2 linked regions of the Anolis sagrei genome follow. The protein of the gene in region 1 purifies or fractionates together with the protein of each later gene. This does not show direct contact. Links are inferred from orthologs where the notes say so. Each region holds a gene or a part of one and is shown in the gene's direction. Other genes may lie near its edges.

Region 1 (7,929 bases):
GCAGAACTCAGGCGGTGTTGTATTTCAGTGTCAATGTTGACGTTTGTGGAGAGGTGGCTGCCAAGGTAGCGGAAATGATCAACATTTTCTAATGTTATAATATAATAATAATAATAATAATAATAATAACTTTATTTTTATACCCCGCCAACCATCTCCCCTAGGGGACTCGGTGTGGCTTACAAGGGACACCCCCAAGATTACAATTAAAACACACATGTAAAACACTTTAACCAATTAAAACATCAGATAAAACAACAACACAATTGAAAGCAATATAATGTTACACCATTAAGCTGTATTTCTGGCATTGGAGAGGGATTGGCTGGTGACTGCTGGAAGAGCACTTTGGTTTTCTCGATGTTCAATGACAAGACGAGCTTCTTGTATGCTTCTGCGTAGGTGTTAGAGTGGCTTGTAGGTCTTCTTCTGAATGTGCACAGATGATGTTGTCATCAGTATATTGAAGTTCTATAGCAGATGTTGTTGTAACCTTGGTTTTAGCTTTCAGTCTGCTGAGGTTAAATAGCTTACCATCTCTGAGGATGCTTGCCATAGATGCAGGCGAAACGTCAGGAGAAAATGCCTCTAGAACATGGCCATATAGCCCGAAAAAACCCACAAGAACCTGTAGCTTACCATCTGTCCGATAGATGATTTCTACTCAGGTGGGAAGCTTTCCGTCAACAAGAAGAAGTATTATAGCATTGAAAATGGAAAATAAGGTTGGGGCAATAACACATCCCTGTTTGACACCTGATTCTACCTTAAATGGGTCACTTTGGGAGCCATTGCTATCCAAGACTGTTGCCATCATGTCATCATGGAGGAGGCTTCTCTCATGTTATCATCATCATCATTTAATTACTTATTAATCGCCCTCCATCCAAGAATGCTCTGGGCGATTTACAGCTAAATTGTAAAAGATAAAATACATACAAAAATTAAAAATTAACAGGGATCGAATGCTCTAGTAAAAAGCCAGGTCTTAAGTGCTTGAGTAAAAGGCCCTAAGTCATACATGGCTCTCATGTAGGGCGGCAAGGATGTATGTCCCAGCATGGGGAGCTGGAGCTGACAGAGGGAGCTCATCCACCTCTCCCCGGATTCGAACCTGCGACCTGCTGGCACAGGGGTTTAATCCACTGAGCCAAAAACATCAAATCATCTGGGCGTCCCCTGGGCAACGTCCTTGCAGACGGCCAATTCTCTCAAACCAGAATCGACTTGCAGTTTCTCAAGTCGCTCCTGACACGGAAAAAAAAAACCATGGAGGAGCCACAGGATGTTCACAAATTTGTTAGGGCACCGGATTTTTTGGAGGATGGTCGAGATAGCACTGCAATTCACTGTGTCGAATGCCTTTGCCTACATTTTTTCCTTCCAATCCTCATTGGAAAGTTACTCAAAGTATGGTATCTAATCTATATAAATAAAAATGTAATGTTCGTTTGTGGGATTAACAGTACTCAAAAACCACTGGACGAATCGACACCAACTTTGGACACAAGACACCGAACAATCCAATGTATGTCCTTCACTAAAAAAAATTGATTTTGTCATTTGGGAGTTGTAGTTGCTGGGATTTATAGTTCGCCTACAATCAAAGAGCATTCTGAACTCCACCAACTCTGGAATTGAACCAAACTTAGCACACAGTTCTCCCATGACCAACAGAAGGGTTTGGTGGGCAGTGTCCTTTGGTTTTGGAGTTGTAGTTCACCTACATCCAGAGATCACTGTGGACTCAAACAATGATGGATCAGGACCAAACTCTACACGAATACTCAATATGCCCAAATGTGAACACTGGTGGAGTTTGGGGAAAATAGAATCTTTTTTTTTTTTAAGATGTTTTTTTTTATTTTTTTTAAGGTTTTTTTTTAATTTTGTTATTACTATTGTATAATACATAGAAACATTCCATCTTTGAAAATAACATTCAAAATTACTATTGTATAATACATAGAAACATTCCATCTTTGAAAATAACATTCATAATACCAGTTTTTTCCCCAATCCCGCCACCAGCACACCCCCCCCCCCCCCGGAACAAATAGATACTTTAGCTGTGTTTATTACAATTGTTCAATCATGAGAATAGTTTTGTTCAACACCGTATATTTATCTTTCCCCTTTATTCTATATATGAGACCCTTCCATTTTGCTTTCCATGTCTTTTTGCTTTGACCCGTCATATAGTAACTTTTCCTTTCGCTAATATCATCTTGAAGAAGGTAATCTGCTAAATATTTGTACCAGGTTTTTGTATCCCATTTCTTGTGGTCTTTCCAGCCCAGGGCCACTGAGGCTTTAATTCCCTCTATCATATGTTTTATTATTTCCTCACTTTCCTTATATTCCTCTTTATTTTCGAATTTCTGAGTGAAAAATTGGGCCTTATTCCATTCTATCTTGATCCCTAATAGCTCCTCCATTTCTTTCCTGATTATTTCTTGGAACTTTTGGATTTTTTCACATTCCCACCACATGTGGGCATATGTTCCTATTTTACCACAGTTGTGCCAACATAATTTTGGGCATGTTTTTGTGATATGCGCCAGTTGCACAGGAGTTCTGTACCATTTTGTCAATATTTTTCGTTGCATTTCTTTAATCTTTAGGTGTTTTATTTTATTGATTGAATTAATCCAATTGTCTATTTCTCTCTCACTGCAATTTAATTCCTCCTTCCAGACTTCCATTAGGGTAGATTTTGTGTTGTATTGTATTTCGGTGATTGTGTTATATATAAATCCCATGATTCCTTTCTCCCTCTCTACTTTCCATTTTATTATTTTGTCGAGATTTGTTTCTGAGGTTTCCTTATTCTTCAATTCTATTAGCTTTTTAGACAGCCCTCCCCATTGTAACCAATTTCCATGCCCGCATTTATCTTTTATTTCCTCCCATTGAATTACAGTCCCGTCTGGTTTTAGTAAGTCCTCAATCTTTGTTATTCCGTTTTGTTCCAGTTTCTTTAGCATGTTGCGATATAGCTGGGGTTTTCTGTTGTCTAAGGAACCTATTGGGAGCTTGTCTATTTTATTTACTGGGAGTTTATTTTGCCATTTTGGGAAAATAGAATCTTGACATTTGGGAGTTGTAGTTGTTGTAGCTCACCTACAATCACAGAGCGTTCTGAACCCCCCAATGATACAATTGGACCAAACCTCCCACACAGAACACCCATGTGGGCCACAGCAACGTGTGGCAGAAGATGGCTAGTAAACTCTAAAAATATACAGAACTGTTAAGTGTTATGGCACTAGGTTCTTGTGGGTTTTTTCGGGCTATAGGGCCATGTTCCAGAGGCACTTCTCCTGACGTTTCGCCTGCATCTATGGCAAGCATCCTCAGAGGTAGTGAGGTCTGTTGGAAATAGGAAAGTGGGTTAATATATCTGTGGAATGGCTGGGGTGGGGCAAGGAGCTCTTCCCTGCTGGAGCTAGGTGTGAATGTTTCAACTGACCACCTTCATTAGCATTTGAAGGCCTGGCTGAGCCTGGAAAAATCTTTTGTTGAGAGGTGTTAAGATGTGCCTGATTGTTTACTCTCTGTTGTTTTGCTGTTGTAATTTTTGAGTTTTTTAATACTGGTAGCCAGATTTTGTTCATTTTCATGGTTTCTTCCTTGCTGTTGAAATTGTCCACATGCTTGTGGATTTCAATGGCTTCTCTGTGTACCCTGACATGGTGGTTGTGAGAGTGGTCCAGCATTTCTGTGTTCTGTGTTCTCAAATAAAATGCTGTGTCCAGGTTGGATACTGTTGGTTCATCAGGTGCTCTGCTATGGCTGATTTCTCTGGTTGAAGTAGTCTGCAGTGCCTTTGCTGGGATTTATAGTTCACCTACAGTTAAAGAGCATTCTGAACACCATCAGCTATGGAATTGAGCCAAACTTGGCACACAGTTCTCCCATGACGAACAGAAGGGTTTAGTGGGCAGTGTCCTTTGGTTTTGGAGTTGTAGTTCACCTACATCCAGAGATCATTGTGGACTCAAACAATGATTGATCAGGACCAAACTCTACACGAATACTCAATATGCCCAAATGTGAACACTGGTGGAGTTTGGGGGAAATAGAATGTTGAGATTTGGGAGTTGTAGTTGTTGGGATTTATAGTTCACCTACAATCAAAGAGCATTCTGAACTCCACCAACTATGGAATTGAACCAAACTTGGCACACAGTTCTCCCATGACCAACAGAAGGGTTTGGTGGGCAGTGTCCTTTGGTTTTGGAGTTGTAGTTCACTTACATCCAGAGATCACTGTGGACTCAAACAATGGTGGATCAGGACCAAACTCTACACGAATACTCAATATTCCCAAATGTGAACACTGGTGGAGTTTGGGGAAAATAGAATCTTGACATTTGGGAGTTGTAGTTGCTGAGATTTATAGTTCATCTACAATCACAGAATATTCTGAACCCCACCAATGATAGAATTGGGCCAAACCTCCCACATAGAACCCCCATATGGGCCACAGCTACGCGTCGCAGGGGATGGCTAGTAAACACTAAAAATGTACAGAACTGTTAAGTGTTATGGCACTTTTCTGGCTATTGTTCGTGCTACAGGAGACTAACAGTAGGATGGCCACTGTGGAAACAAGACAGGACTTAACAGAGGCTGGATGGCCATCTGTCAGGCGTGATTTGAATGCAATATTTCTGCTTCTTGGCAGGGGGTTGGGCTGGATGGCCCATGAGGTCTCTTCCAACTCTTTGATTCTATGATTCTACATCTCTGAGTGGTTGTGCAGAAGAGACCAGTGTAGTTCCACCTCCGTCCACCCGGGGCGCGCTTTCCTCCCTGAGTGCAGACACGCCTTCCTAGGCGCAGTGAGGTGTACGCATGCGCGAAGCGGTTGCCGCCATCTTGCCACTCTGTGAGAGCTGGCGTCGGCAAGAAGAGAGCTGCTCGAGGTGGAAGGCTGCGGAGCTGGCTTGCGCTTGAAGCAAAGCTCTCCCCAGCAGGACTAGGTGGCGGGCGTGCCTCTGGTGTGTTGATATTTGGGGTGCAGAGCCTTAGCAGGAGGGAGGGAACGAGGGGCGCAGGGGAATGAAAAGGCCGGGGAGAATGTGCGCATGCGCCAGAGTGCGGCCCGCCTTAGCTAGTGCGCATGCGCGTGAAACTAGGGAGCCGGTAAAGGGACTATGGCAAAAACACGCAGGCGCAGAAGTTGAGGGAGGCTGGAGCTGTGCATGCTGGGTTTTTATACGCCGGCCTCAGGTTTCCTCAGAGGGTGGATTTCCCTAACTGTGACCCCTTCCACACAGCTGTAGAAAATCCATATTGAACTTGAATATATGGTCGTATGGACTAATAACCCTGTGCAAAGCCGACATTGTGGATTATTCTGGATTATATGGCTGTGTGGAAAGGCCCTGAGGACTAATAAACCTAAAATGATCAAGGGTCTGGAGAACAAACCCTATGAGGAGCGGCTTAAGGAGCTGGGCATGTTTAGCCTAAAGAAGAGAAGGCTGAGAGGAAGGCCCCACGACTCTGGAACTCTCTCCCTGTGGAGGCCAGAACCGCCCCATCCATCCTAACATTAGGAAACGGGTGAAGACGTGGCTGTGGAGTCAGGCCTTCGAGGAAAGAGACAACACCATAGGACTCTGGATGGAAGTGGATATAGATCCATCTTATTAGGACGACTGACCACTGTAGTTTTATATTTAGTGTTTCTAAAGTTGTTTTGTAATTTGTGATATATGATATTTTAATGAATGTATATGTTTTTATGGCTGTAAACAGGGCTGAGTCCTTCAACGAGGTTGAGAAGCTTGGTATACAAAACTGAAATAAATAAATAAATATGATAGCCATGTATAAATATGTGAGAGGAAGCCACAGGGAGGAGGGAGCAAGCTTGTTTTCTGCTTCCCTGGAGACTAGGACGCAAAGCAATGGCTTCAAACTACAAGAAAGGAGATTCCATCTGAACATGAGGAAGAACTTCCTGACTGTGAGAGCTGTTCATCAGTGGAACTCTCTGCCCCGAAGTGTGGTGGAGGCTCCTTCTTTGGAAGCTTTTAAACAGAGGCTGGATGGCCATCTGTCAGGGGTGCTCCTTAAGCCGCTCCTCATAGGGCTTGTTCTCCAGACCCTTGATCATTTTAGTCACCCTCCTCTGGACACATTCCAGCTTGTCAATATCTCCCTTGAATTGTGGTGCCCAGAATTGGACAAAATATTGCAGGTGTGGTCTAACCAAAGCAGAATAGAAGGGTAGCATTACTTCCCTGGACCTAGTCATTATGCTATTGATGCAGGCCAAAATCCCATTGGCTTTCTGTGCCACCACATCACATTGTTGGCTCATGTTTAATTTGGTAGCGGGGTACAAATAAAGGTTTATTATTATTATTATTATTATTATTATTATTATGTGTGGAAAGGCCTTGAGGATTAATAACCCAGTTCAAAGCCGATATTGTGGATTTTTCTGGATTATATGGCTGTGTGGAAAGGCCCTGGATGCTTTTCTTGTTTGCTCTGTCAGGACAGAAAAACCAAGTCACAAAGGCCCCTTCCACACAACTGAATAAAATCCCATATTTTGTGCTTTGAACTGGATTATATGGCAGTGTAGAACCCAGTTCAAAGCAGATATTGTGGGATTTTCTGCCTTGATATTCTGGCTTATATGGCTGTGTGGAGACACTGCGTGACAAGAAGTCCCCTCATAGGACACATTTGGAGGGGGCCCTTCTACACTGCCATATAATCCAGAATATTTATTTATTTGCAACATTTATATGTTGCCCTTCTCACCCCGAAGGGGACTCAGAATGGCTTACAAGTAAAAAGTAAATACAATATATTATATTGCTATCATAGCACAATATTAATATTATATATTACATTGCACGGTAACATTATCCTGTAATATTATTAGTAATATTACATTTAATATAAAATATATAATCCACATTATCTGCTTTGAACTGGATTATCTTGAGTCTACATTGCCATATAATCCAGTTCAAAGATAATCAGAATTTTATACAGATGTGTAGAAGGGGCCTGGGAGGGAAACAGTGATACTTGGTTTTACTGTATTGATGTGAGGCTTCCTGTTTTGCATTTAGAGAAGAGCAAAGTATCATTTATCTGGGAATCCTTCTACACTGCCATATAAAATTGAGATTATCTGCTTTGAACTGGGTTATATGGCAGTGTAAAAAAAATGTAATCCAGTTCAAAGCAGTTAACGTGGGTTATATGGTCGTGTAAAAGGGGTATGAGTAGAAGAGACAAGCGTGCCTCCTTTCAGTCGTTTGCTGTTGGCTTTGTATTGGATGGGGAAGGCAATGGAGAAGGCATTTTAATTATAAGCACCTGTGTTTCAGTCCAATAAGTGTGGTTTTTTAATACAAATCTTTTGCTGACTGTTGTATTTGAATCCTAAGGTCCCATCTACACTGCCATATAAAATTCAGATTATCTTCTTTGAACTGGATTATGTGGCAGTATATTCATATAATCCAGTTCAAAGAGAGAATGAGGATTATCTGATTTGAAAATCTGGATTATATGGCAGTGTAGATCCAGCCTAAATTTCCTAGCCATCTAAGGGCCACAATTTCCTCATTTTATATTATATTTCCCAAAGTACACTTCAATCCTAGTTATTCTCTTCTAGCTGTATTTCCAAATATTATACTATAGGGTTATTGCAGACAGAGTATCCCTTCTCTGAAGCCCCTTCCATACAGCTGTATAAATCCACTTTGAACTGAATTATATGGCAGTGTGGACTCAAATAACCCAGTTCGAAGCAGATATTGTGGATTATCTGCATTGATATTCTTGGTTAAATGGCCATGTGGAAGGGCCCTGAAATGCAGGGTACCTTAATGTACCTTATACACATATACAATGCTTAAAGGTTAATGTATACAACATTTTAAA
Region 2 (7,663 bases), on another chromosome or scaffold:
TTGTTATGGTTCTAATTTGCTTGAATTGTTGTATTTCAAATTAAGTCCAAACAGATTTTATGGTATAGTATAGTATGGGGTATAATATTAGTTAAGCCTATTTTAATAGTAACTCTCAACCAACCAGAAACTGCATTTATCTGGCATCTACCAAACCAAATGGGTGCCAGTCAACTGAGAGTCTACAGTACTGTATTTTTAATCATTTGGTGCATGAAAGTTGGTGTCCATTGAACAATCAGAAAGTTAAGGTCTCAGCCATCCATGTGGAATGATTTTGGAACTGTCCAGTGATTTCAGCTCCCAAAGGACCAAATACAACAAGGAGGAATTGAAGGCAAGGAACAGAGGTGTTTATTCACCTTGACCAAAGTGGATATCTGTGCTCCAAAAACTGACGTAAGTGCAATTCCAAACATATGATTTATTTCTAGCACTGTGACAGCTGTTTGAAACAAAGGATTTTGCCACTCTGGCTACTGATTAGTCCAGACTGGAGCAAGCTAGGATAAGCTTACTGGTTTCTGGAAACTTGATGCCGTCTGCTGTTGACTGGATATGAGATTATGACTCGGCATTTTAGTCTGTTTAATAGATTGTTACATGTTTTAATTGCTTATATGTTTAGATTGCTTATATTTTTATGAGATGTGTTTTATTGTTTATCTGTGTGGCACTGAATTTTTGCTGGATTTATAAGTCGCCTTGAGTCTGCTCCCAGGTTGAGAAAGGTGGGATAGAAATGAAGTCAATAAATAAATAATTGACATGAAATTTAATAAAGTCTCATTGTTTGATTTGAAAACTGCTGGCTGGTTTTTACGCCACCAAGGAAAGGGGTACGGGAGGAAAGAAATGGGGGCTGGGTTGGTGTTAATGGAGCTGATAGCTCTGTTCATGTCCATCTGGAACAGGACAATGGGTTTTGGTTGGCGATATAATGGGTGCCAGGGGTGTTGGCACAGCCTCAATGGGGTCCCCAGGGAGGGGATGTGATCTGGCGATTAGAATTGGAAAGATTTCACAGATGCATACTATTTTGGAAAATCCCTGTGAGTCTTCTTAAATCCATTATGAGATTCTCGAGCTAAATGGTGAGACTTTCCCTAGGGTTTATGTGTACCTGCTTGTCTAACTTTGACAAATTCATTCGGATGCCACCTGAAAGTAGGGGAAAGTTTCTGGGTACCCTCAGAGTCATGGGTTTTGGTTGTCCTGGCTTTCAATAACAGAACATTTAAGATTTGGGATATGCAGGTCAGGGATGTCAACCTGTATTACTCCCAGCATTCTATTGATTTTGATTATTGGTTTTCTCCTATTATTGAATCTGATAATCTTCTACCAAACCCTGCTGTTTCCAGCAAGCCTTTCCACTCTTGTATAACAGTCATTTTCACTATTCTGTTACCTGGAGGGCCCCATCTACACTGCCATATAATCCAGTATCCGATTCCAGATAATCTACTTTGAACTGGATTATATGGCAGTGTAGTTTCATATAATCGAGTTCAAAATGTATAATCAGATACTGGGTTATATGGCGGTGTAGATCCAGCCAAGGACCATATAAGATTTAGGCTGAATAGAAACTGCCATATAATCTACCGTATATTCTGGCGTATAAGACTACTTTTTAACCCAAGAAAATCTCAAAAGTCAAGGGTCGTCTTATACGCAGGAGTCATCTTATACGTGGGAATAGTATATGTGGGAGTTGTCTTATATGTGGGAGTAGTCTTATACGCTGGGAGTAGTCTTATAGAGTGGGTGCTGAAATTTCCAATCCGGATTGGAGAATCTGTGGTTGCTGCATAATTTGGGGGGAACTCAAAAATGGCAGTGGCCGTGTCCCTGCCGTATGCAGCCACTGTATGAAAGCATTAAGGGCGACGCTGTACATGTACAGTAGAAGAAAATCCATTCATCAGGTGTCAATCTGTTTGTGTATACATATACAGTGATATGTGCATGTTTGTACAGGGAAACATGTAGATACATGTTACAATACAAGGCGCTGAACAGATAATCTGTTCACGAGATGCAGAGCCAACCTTCAGAAATGGGGCCACAAAGTGGCATCCACGACATGCAAGTGTGGAGAAGAACAAACTACAGACCTGAAATGCAACCTGACCCCCGCCACATGCACAATGGAGGACCTTCTTGCAGCAACACCAGAGGCACTCCAAGTGGCCAGATACTAGTCAAAGAATAATTAATAGAATACCAAGCCTGCAAACTTTGTGTTTTGTTTGCAATACAACTGTTTTGGTTCGCTCCTAACATGATAAAAAATGTACAATATAAGGGCTTAGTTTTTATTGTATTCATTGTGTATTATTTGTTTTGTATTATTATTTTTATAAACTGTTGGATTAATTCATAAATGATTTCAATTAATTCATAAATGACCAGCTTTCAAATTTCAGGTGAAGGGCTTTTTTGGTCAAATGTATCAGGAAGGCCTGAGTTCAAAACTCCAAACAGCTGTGAAATGCAATAGTCACAGGGTGCATCTACATTGTAGAATTAATACAGTTTGGCATCACTTTAACTGCCATGGCTCCAATGCTATGAGATCCTGGGAATTGTAGTTTGATAATGCAGATAATGCTGGCATGGCTGTGTCTTTTCACCGAATGCAACCAACAATATAATGGCATCTTTAATACATACATACATATACTAGCTGTCCCCTGCCATGCGTTGCTGTGGCCCAGTCTGTTGATCTGGAAAATAAAGTAATGAGAAAGTGTTGGTTTCTAATATATGTAATTCTTTTATGTTTGTGAGTAAACAGTATTTCTTGTTGTTTCTTTGTCAGTGTTGATGTGGAGAGTGTCTGGTTTGCCTACTCTGGAATATGCAACATATCATTGTCCTTCTTTAAGGGTCTCTTTCAAATCTGTGATACTATATCTGTGTGTGTGTGAGAGAAAATCATATCTATCTATCTATATTTATGACTGGATGGCTCTTTGTCGGGAGGGCTCGGATTACATTTTCTTGCCCTGGTGAAGAGAGTTGGACTGGATGGCCTTAAGTATTTTCTGTTGGTCATGGGGGTTCTGTGTGGGAAGTTTGCCCCATTTCTGTTGTTTGTGGGTTTCAGAATGCTCTTTAATTGTAGTGAACTATAAATCCCAGTAACTACAAATCCCAAATGTCAAGGTCTATTTCCTTCAAACTCCATCTGTGTTCATATTTAGGCATATGGAATTTTTGTGTTAAGTTTGGTCCAGATCCATCATTGTTTGAGTCCACAGTGCTCTCTGGATGTAGGTGAACTACAACTCCCAAACTCAAGGTCAATGCCCACCACACCCTTCCAGTGTGTTCTGTTGGTCATGGAAGTCTGGTATGCCATGTTTGGTTCAATTCCATCGTTGGTGGAGTTCAGAATGCTCTTTAATTGTAGGTGAACTATAAATCCCAGCAACTACAACTCCCAAATGTCAAGGTCTATTTCCCTTAAATTCCATCTGTGTTCATATTTGGGCATATGGAATATTCGTGCCAAGTTTGGTCCAGATCCATCATTGTTTGAGTCCACAGTGCTCTCTGGATGTGGGTGAACTACAATTCCCAAACTCAAGGTCAATGTCCACCAAACCCTTCCAGTTTTTTTCTGTTGGTCATGGGAGCCCTGTGTGCTAAGTTTGGCCCAATTCCATCATTGGTGGAGTTCAGAATACTGTTTGATTGTAGGTAAACTATAAATCCCAGCAACGACAATTCCCAAATGACAAAATCATTTTTTTTCTGAGTGGAGGACATAAATTGGACTGTTAGGTGTCTTGTGTCCAAATTTGGTGTCAATTCCCCCAGTGGTTTTTGAGTTCTGATGGTAGCACAAACTAACATTACATTTTTATTTATATAGATATATCTTTATTAAGTATTTACAAAGCACAAAAGCATTTTTTTTAAACCATGAGTATAAAAGAAAGGCTAAAGACCTTGTAAATGCTAAAGACCTTGTAAAACTACACCTCTCTAGTGTGTGTGTGTTTTTCAAACTTGAGCTCTACCAGCTGTCCAATCACGAGCTGAAGCTTCGATGACGTCATTCGCCCAGTGCCCAAAGGAAATAGAGGCTTGCCCCAAGGGACCCGGATGTACGTCAAGCTGCCTTTTAAAAAAATGGTAAACCTTTACGCTGATACTATTGGTTAGTATTTTAACCAATCAAGAGGGACTATTAGGACATAGGCGGGGAGAAAATAGGCGGCAGATGAGGGCAATCATTGCAAGGCATTATTGCGAAAGTGACAACCAAATTATCCAATCGGAATGAGAGCTCTTTTGAGCGACAGAACTCTTAGCCTATTGGATTCTAAGGACCCGCCTTTCCGACAGAACTCTTAGCCTATTGGATTCTAAGGACCCGCCTTTCGCTTTGCAAATCTCTCCGGATTCCTCCTGATTGTTATTCGCACTGTCCCCGTTTACTTCACCATCGGCGCGGATATGATTGGCCGTCGGTTTGATTGACAGCGAAAGCGACCAATGAGGTGGTGGGAAACGCCAACGTGAGGAGGCGAAACGTGAAAAAGAGGGCGTGGCTATGCTGCGCGGCGCAGAGGTGGAGGGCGGCGGGGACGCCATTTTGTGAACCATCCGAAGCGTGGATGTGGGAAACGTACCTGGTGCGAAAGACTGAAAGCTGTATATTACCAAATAAAGCGGCGGCGGCTTCGAGTCGGTGAGTTCGTGGCTCGGGAAAAGAAGCGCGGAGGGGGGCGGGGCCTGGAGGCTAAGAATGGTATCGCCCTTTCTAACCCGCCCCCCCCCCCTTTCAGCACCAACTTGGTATGCCCCATGTCAGCTCCCCCCCTTTCGAATGTTCCAACGTTGCACCCCTACTCTGTACAAATGGTACGTTCCGTTCTCATTCGTTCCAATGGCTTCTGGGAGATACCATAGCGCGGGAAAAGGGGGAGCGGGTGGGAATGAAAGAAAATGGATCCTTCTTCGATTTGAGCTGGAGGAGAATAAGAGGTTTCGAACGTTGCACCCCCGCTCTGTACAAATGGTACGTTCCATTCTCATTCGTTCCAATGGCTTCTGGGAGATACCATAGTGCGGGAAAGGGAGGGCGGGTGGGAATGAAAGAAAATGGATCCTTCTTCGCTTTGAGCTGGAGGTGGATGAGAGATTGGTGTTTTCAATTGGATTAGGAAAGAAATGGCATCACTGTTCATTACTCTGAGCGCAAAGGAGGCCCAAAGGTGTTTATACCACATCCTATGCAGTATCTTAATCCGGATTATGACACTAACACAGGCATAGTGTTTCTGCGGGATTGGATTTGGCAGAGTATATAATCATAGAGTTGGAAGAGATATCATGGGCCATCCAGTCCAACCCCATTCTGCCAAGAAGCAGGAAAATTGCATTCAAAGCACCCCCAACAGATGGCCATCCAGCCTCTGTTCTAGAAGCATTCTCTCCTGACGTTTCGCCTACATCTGTAGCAAGCATCCTCAGAGATTGTGAAGTTTGTTAGAAACTAGGAAAATTGGGTATATATATCTGTGGAAGACCCAGGGTGGGAGAAAGAACTCTTGTCTGTTGGAGCTAGGTGTGAGTGTTTCAGTTGGCCACCTTGATTAGCATTTGATGGCCTAGAATCATAGAGTTAGGGCTTCCAGTCCAACTCCCTGCCTAGAAGCAGGAATATTGCATTCAAAGCACCCCCGACAGATGGCCATCCAGCCTCAGTTTAAAAGCTTCCAAAGAAGGAGCCTCCACCACACTCCGGGGCAGAGAGTTCCACTGCTGAACGGCTCTCACAGACATAGAATCATAGAGTTGGAAGAGACCTCATGGGCCATCCAGTCCAACCCCCTGCCAAGAAGCAGGAATATTGCATTCAAAGCACCCCCGACAGATGGCCATCCAGCCTCTGTTCTAGAAGCATTCTCTCCTAACGTTTCGCCTACATCTGTAGCAAGCATCCTCAGAGATTGTGAAGTTTGTTAGAAACTAGGAAAATTGGGTATATATATCTGTGGAATATCCAGGGTGGGAGAAAGAACTCTTGTTTGTTGGAGCTAGGTGTGAGTGTTTCAATTGGCCACCTTGATTAGTATTTGATGGCCTAGAATCATAGAGTTGTGGCTTCCAGTCCAACTCCCTGCCAAAAAGCAGGAAAATTGTATTCAAAGCACCCCCGACAGATGGCCATCCAGCCTCTGTTTTAAAAGCTTCCAAAGAAGGAGCCTCCACCACACTCCGGGGCAGAGAGTTCCACTGCTGAATGGCTCACACAGTCATAGAATCACAGAGTTGGAAGAGATCTCATAGGCCATCCAGTCCAACCCCCTGCAAAGAAACAGGAATATTGCATTCAGAACACCCCTGACAGATGGCCATCCAGCCTCTGTTTAAAAGCTTCCAAAGAAGGAGCCCCCACCTCACTCTGGGGCAGAGAGTTCCACTGCTGAATGGCTCTCACAGTCAGGAAATTCTTCCTAGTGTTCAGATGGAATCTCCTCTCTTGTAGTTTGAAGCCATTGTTCCGTGTCCTAGTCTCCAGGGAAATAAAAAACAAGCTTGCTCCCTCCTCCCTGTGGCTTCCTCTCACGTATTTATACATGGCTATCATATCTCCTCTCAGCTTTTGCTTCTGCAGGCTAAACATGCCCAGCTCTTTAAGCCGCTCCTTATAGGGCTTGTTCTCCAGACCCTTGATCATTTTAGTCGCCCTTCTCTGGACACAGCTTCAAGTGTGGGGCCCAGAATTGGACACAATATTCCAGGTGTGGTCTAACCAAGGCAGAATAGAGCATGGGTAGTATGACTTCCCTAGATCTAGACACTAGTAAGGAAGTTCTCCCTAATGTTCCGATGGAATCTCTTTTCATGCATAAATCAACAGGCAATTTGAGGATGATTTGTTCCCAAGTAATAAAGATCTTGAAGTGGTCAGATGCTGTTCAGAAATTAGAAGTATCCTTATTCTTGGGTGAATATATTTGTGTCACATAGTCCTGCTAGGTTGTTGCAGCAATAAATAAAATGCCTGATAGGACCTTTAAGCCCAGTGCATCCTGCCTAAATTTGCGTGAAAGTAATCCTCACTAAATTCAGTGCAAGCTGATATCAGTTGCAGTAAGATTCAAGAGGATGGACCAGGAATGATTACGCAATAATAAATCTCCTAAGAGTTAAAAAATGCCACTGTGTAGCTTTTTCTCCCTCTCCATCACATTCCTTAATACAGTTTGAGCATCCTTTATTTGAAATTTTGAAATACTCAAAAATGGTCCATGTTGATGACTGAAATAGTGCCATGTTTGCTTTCGGATTGTTCACTGGATAAACACTTTGTTTGATGGATAAAAATATTTAAGGATGTTGCGTATAAAATTACCTTCAAGCTATAAGGTGTTTATGCTACAGAAGAGAACTTTGGGTTTGTGTTCCATTGTCAATGTATATCGAATCTGAAATGTTTCTAGGTCTTAACATCTTGGGTATAGGATACCCAGCCTTTAAAGAAAAGCAAAGAACTAGTTCCAAGATTTGGTATGATCCATTATTCTTCTTGTTCCTTTATGTAATCTTGAGTGATCTGGTTTTATTGGGCCAGTTTTGCAGGCTTAGCAGTGCGCAGCCCACACAGTGTCAGTTGAGAAGCTTGATGGAAATGTTC

What was found. Proteins that work in one complex are often made in the same cells at the same time.
Region 2: the proteins of DHX9 (region 1) and HNRNPC purify together in Homo sapiens (affinity purification with western blotting; 5 studies listed by BioGRID and IntAct, with this or other methods). This does not show direct contact. The link is inferred for Anolis sagrei from reciprocal best matches to the Homo sapiens genes DHX9 and HNRNPC.

What each region holds. Positions count from the first base shown.
Region 1 is NC_090024.1:123,122,546-123,130,474, reverse strand, and holds the start of DHX9 (ATP-dependent RNA helicase A), read left to right. Parts: upstream 1-4,857; 5' UTR 4,858-5,006; intron 5,007-7,929. UniProt on the Homo sapiens protein: Multifunctional ATP-dependent nucleic acid helicase that unwinds DNA and RNA in a 3' to 5' direction and that plays important roles in many processes, such as DNA replication, transcriptional activation, post-transcriptional RNA regulation, mRNA translation and RNA-mediated gene silencing.
Region 2 is NC_090026.1:11,145,582-11,153,244, forward strand, and holds the start of HNRNPC (heterogeneous nuclear ribonucleoproteins C1/C2), read left to right. Parts: upstream 1-4,568; 5' UTR 4,569-4,708; intron 4,709-7,663. UniProt on the Homo sapiens protein: Binds pre-mRNA and nucleates the assembly of 40S hnRNP particles. Interacts with poly-U tracts in the 3'-UTR or 5'-UTR of mRNA and modulates the stability and the level of translation of bound mRNA molecules. Single HNRNPC tetramers bind 230-240 nucleotides.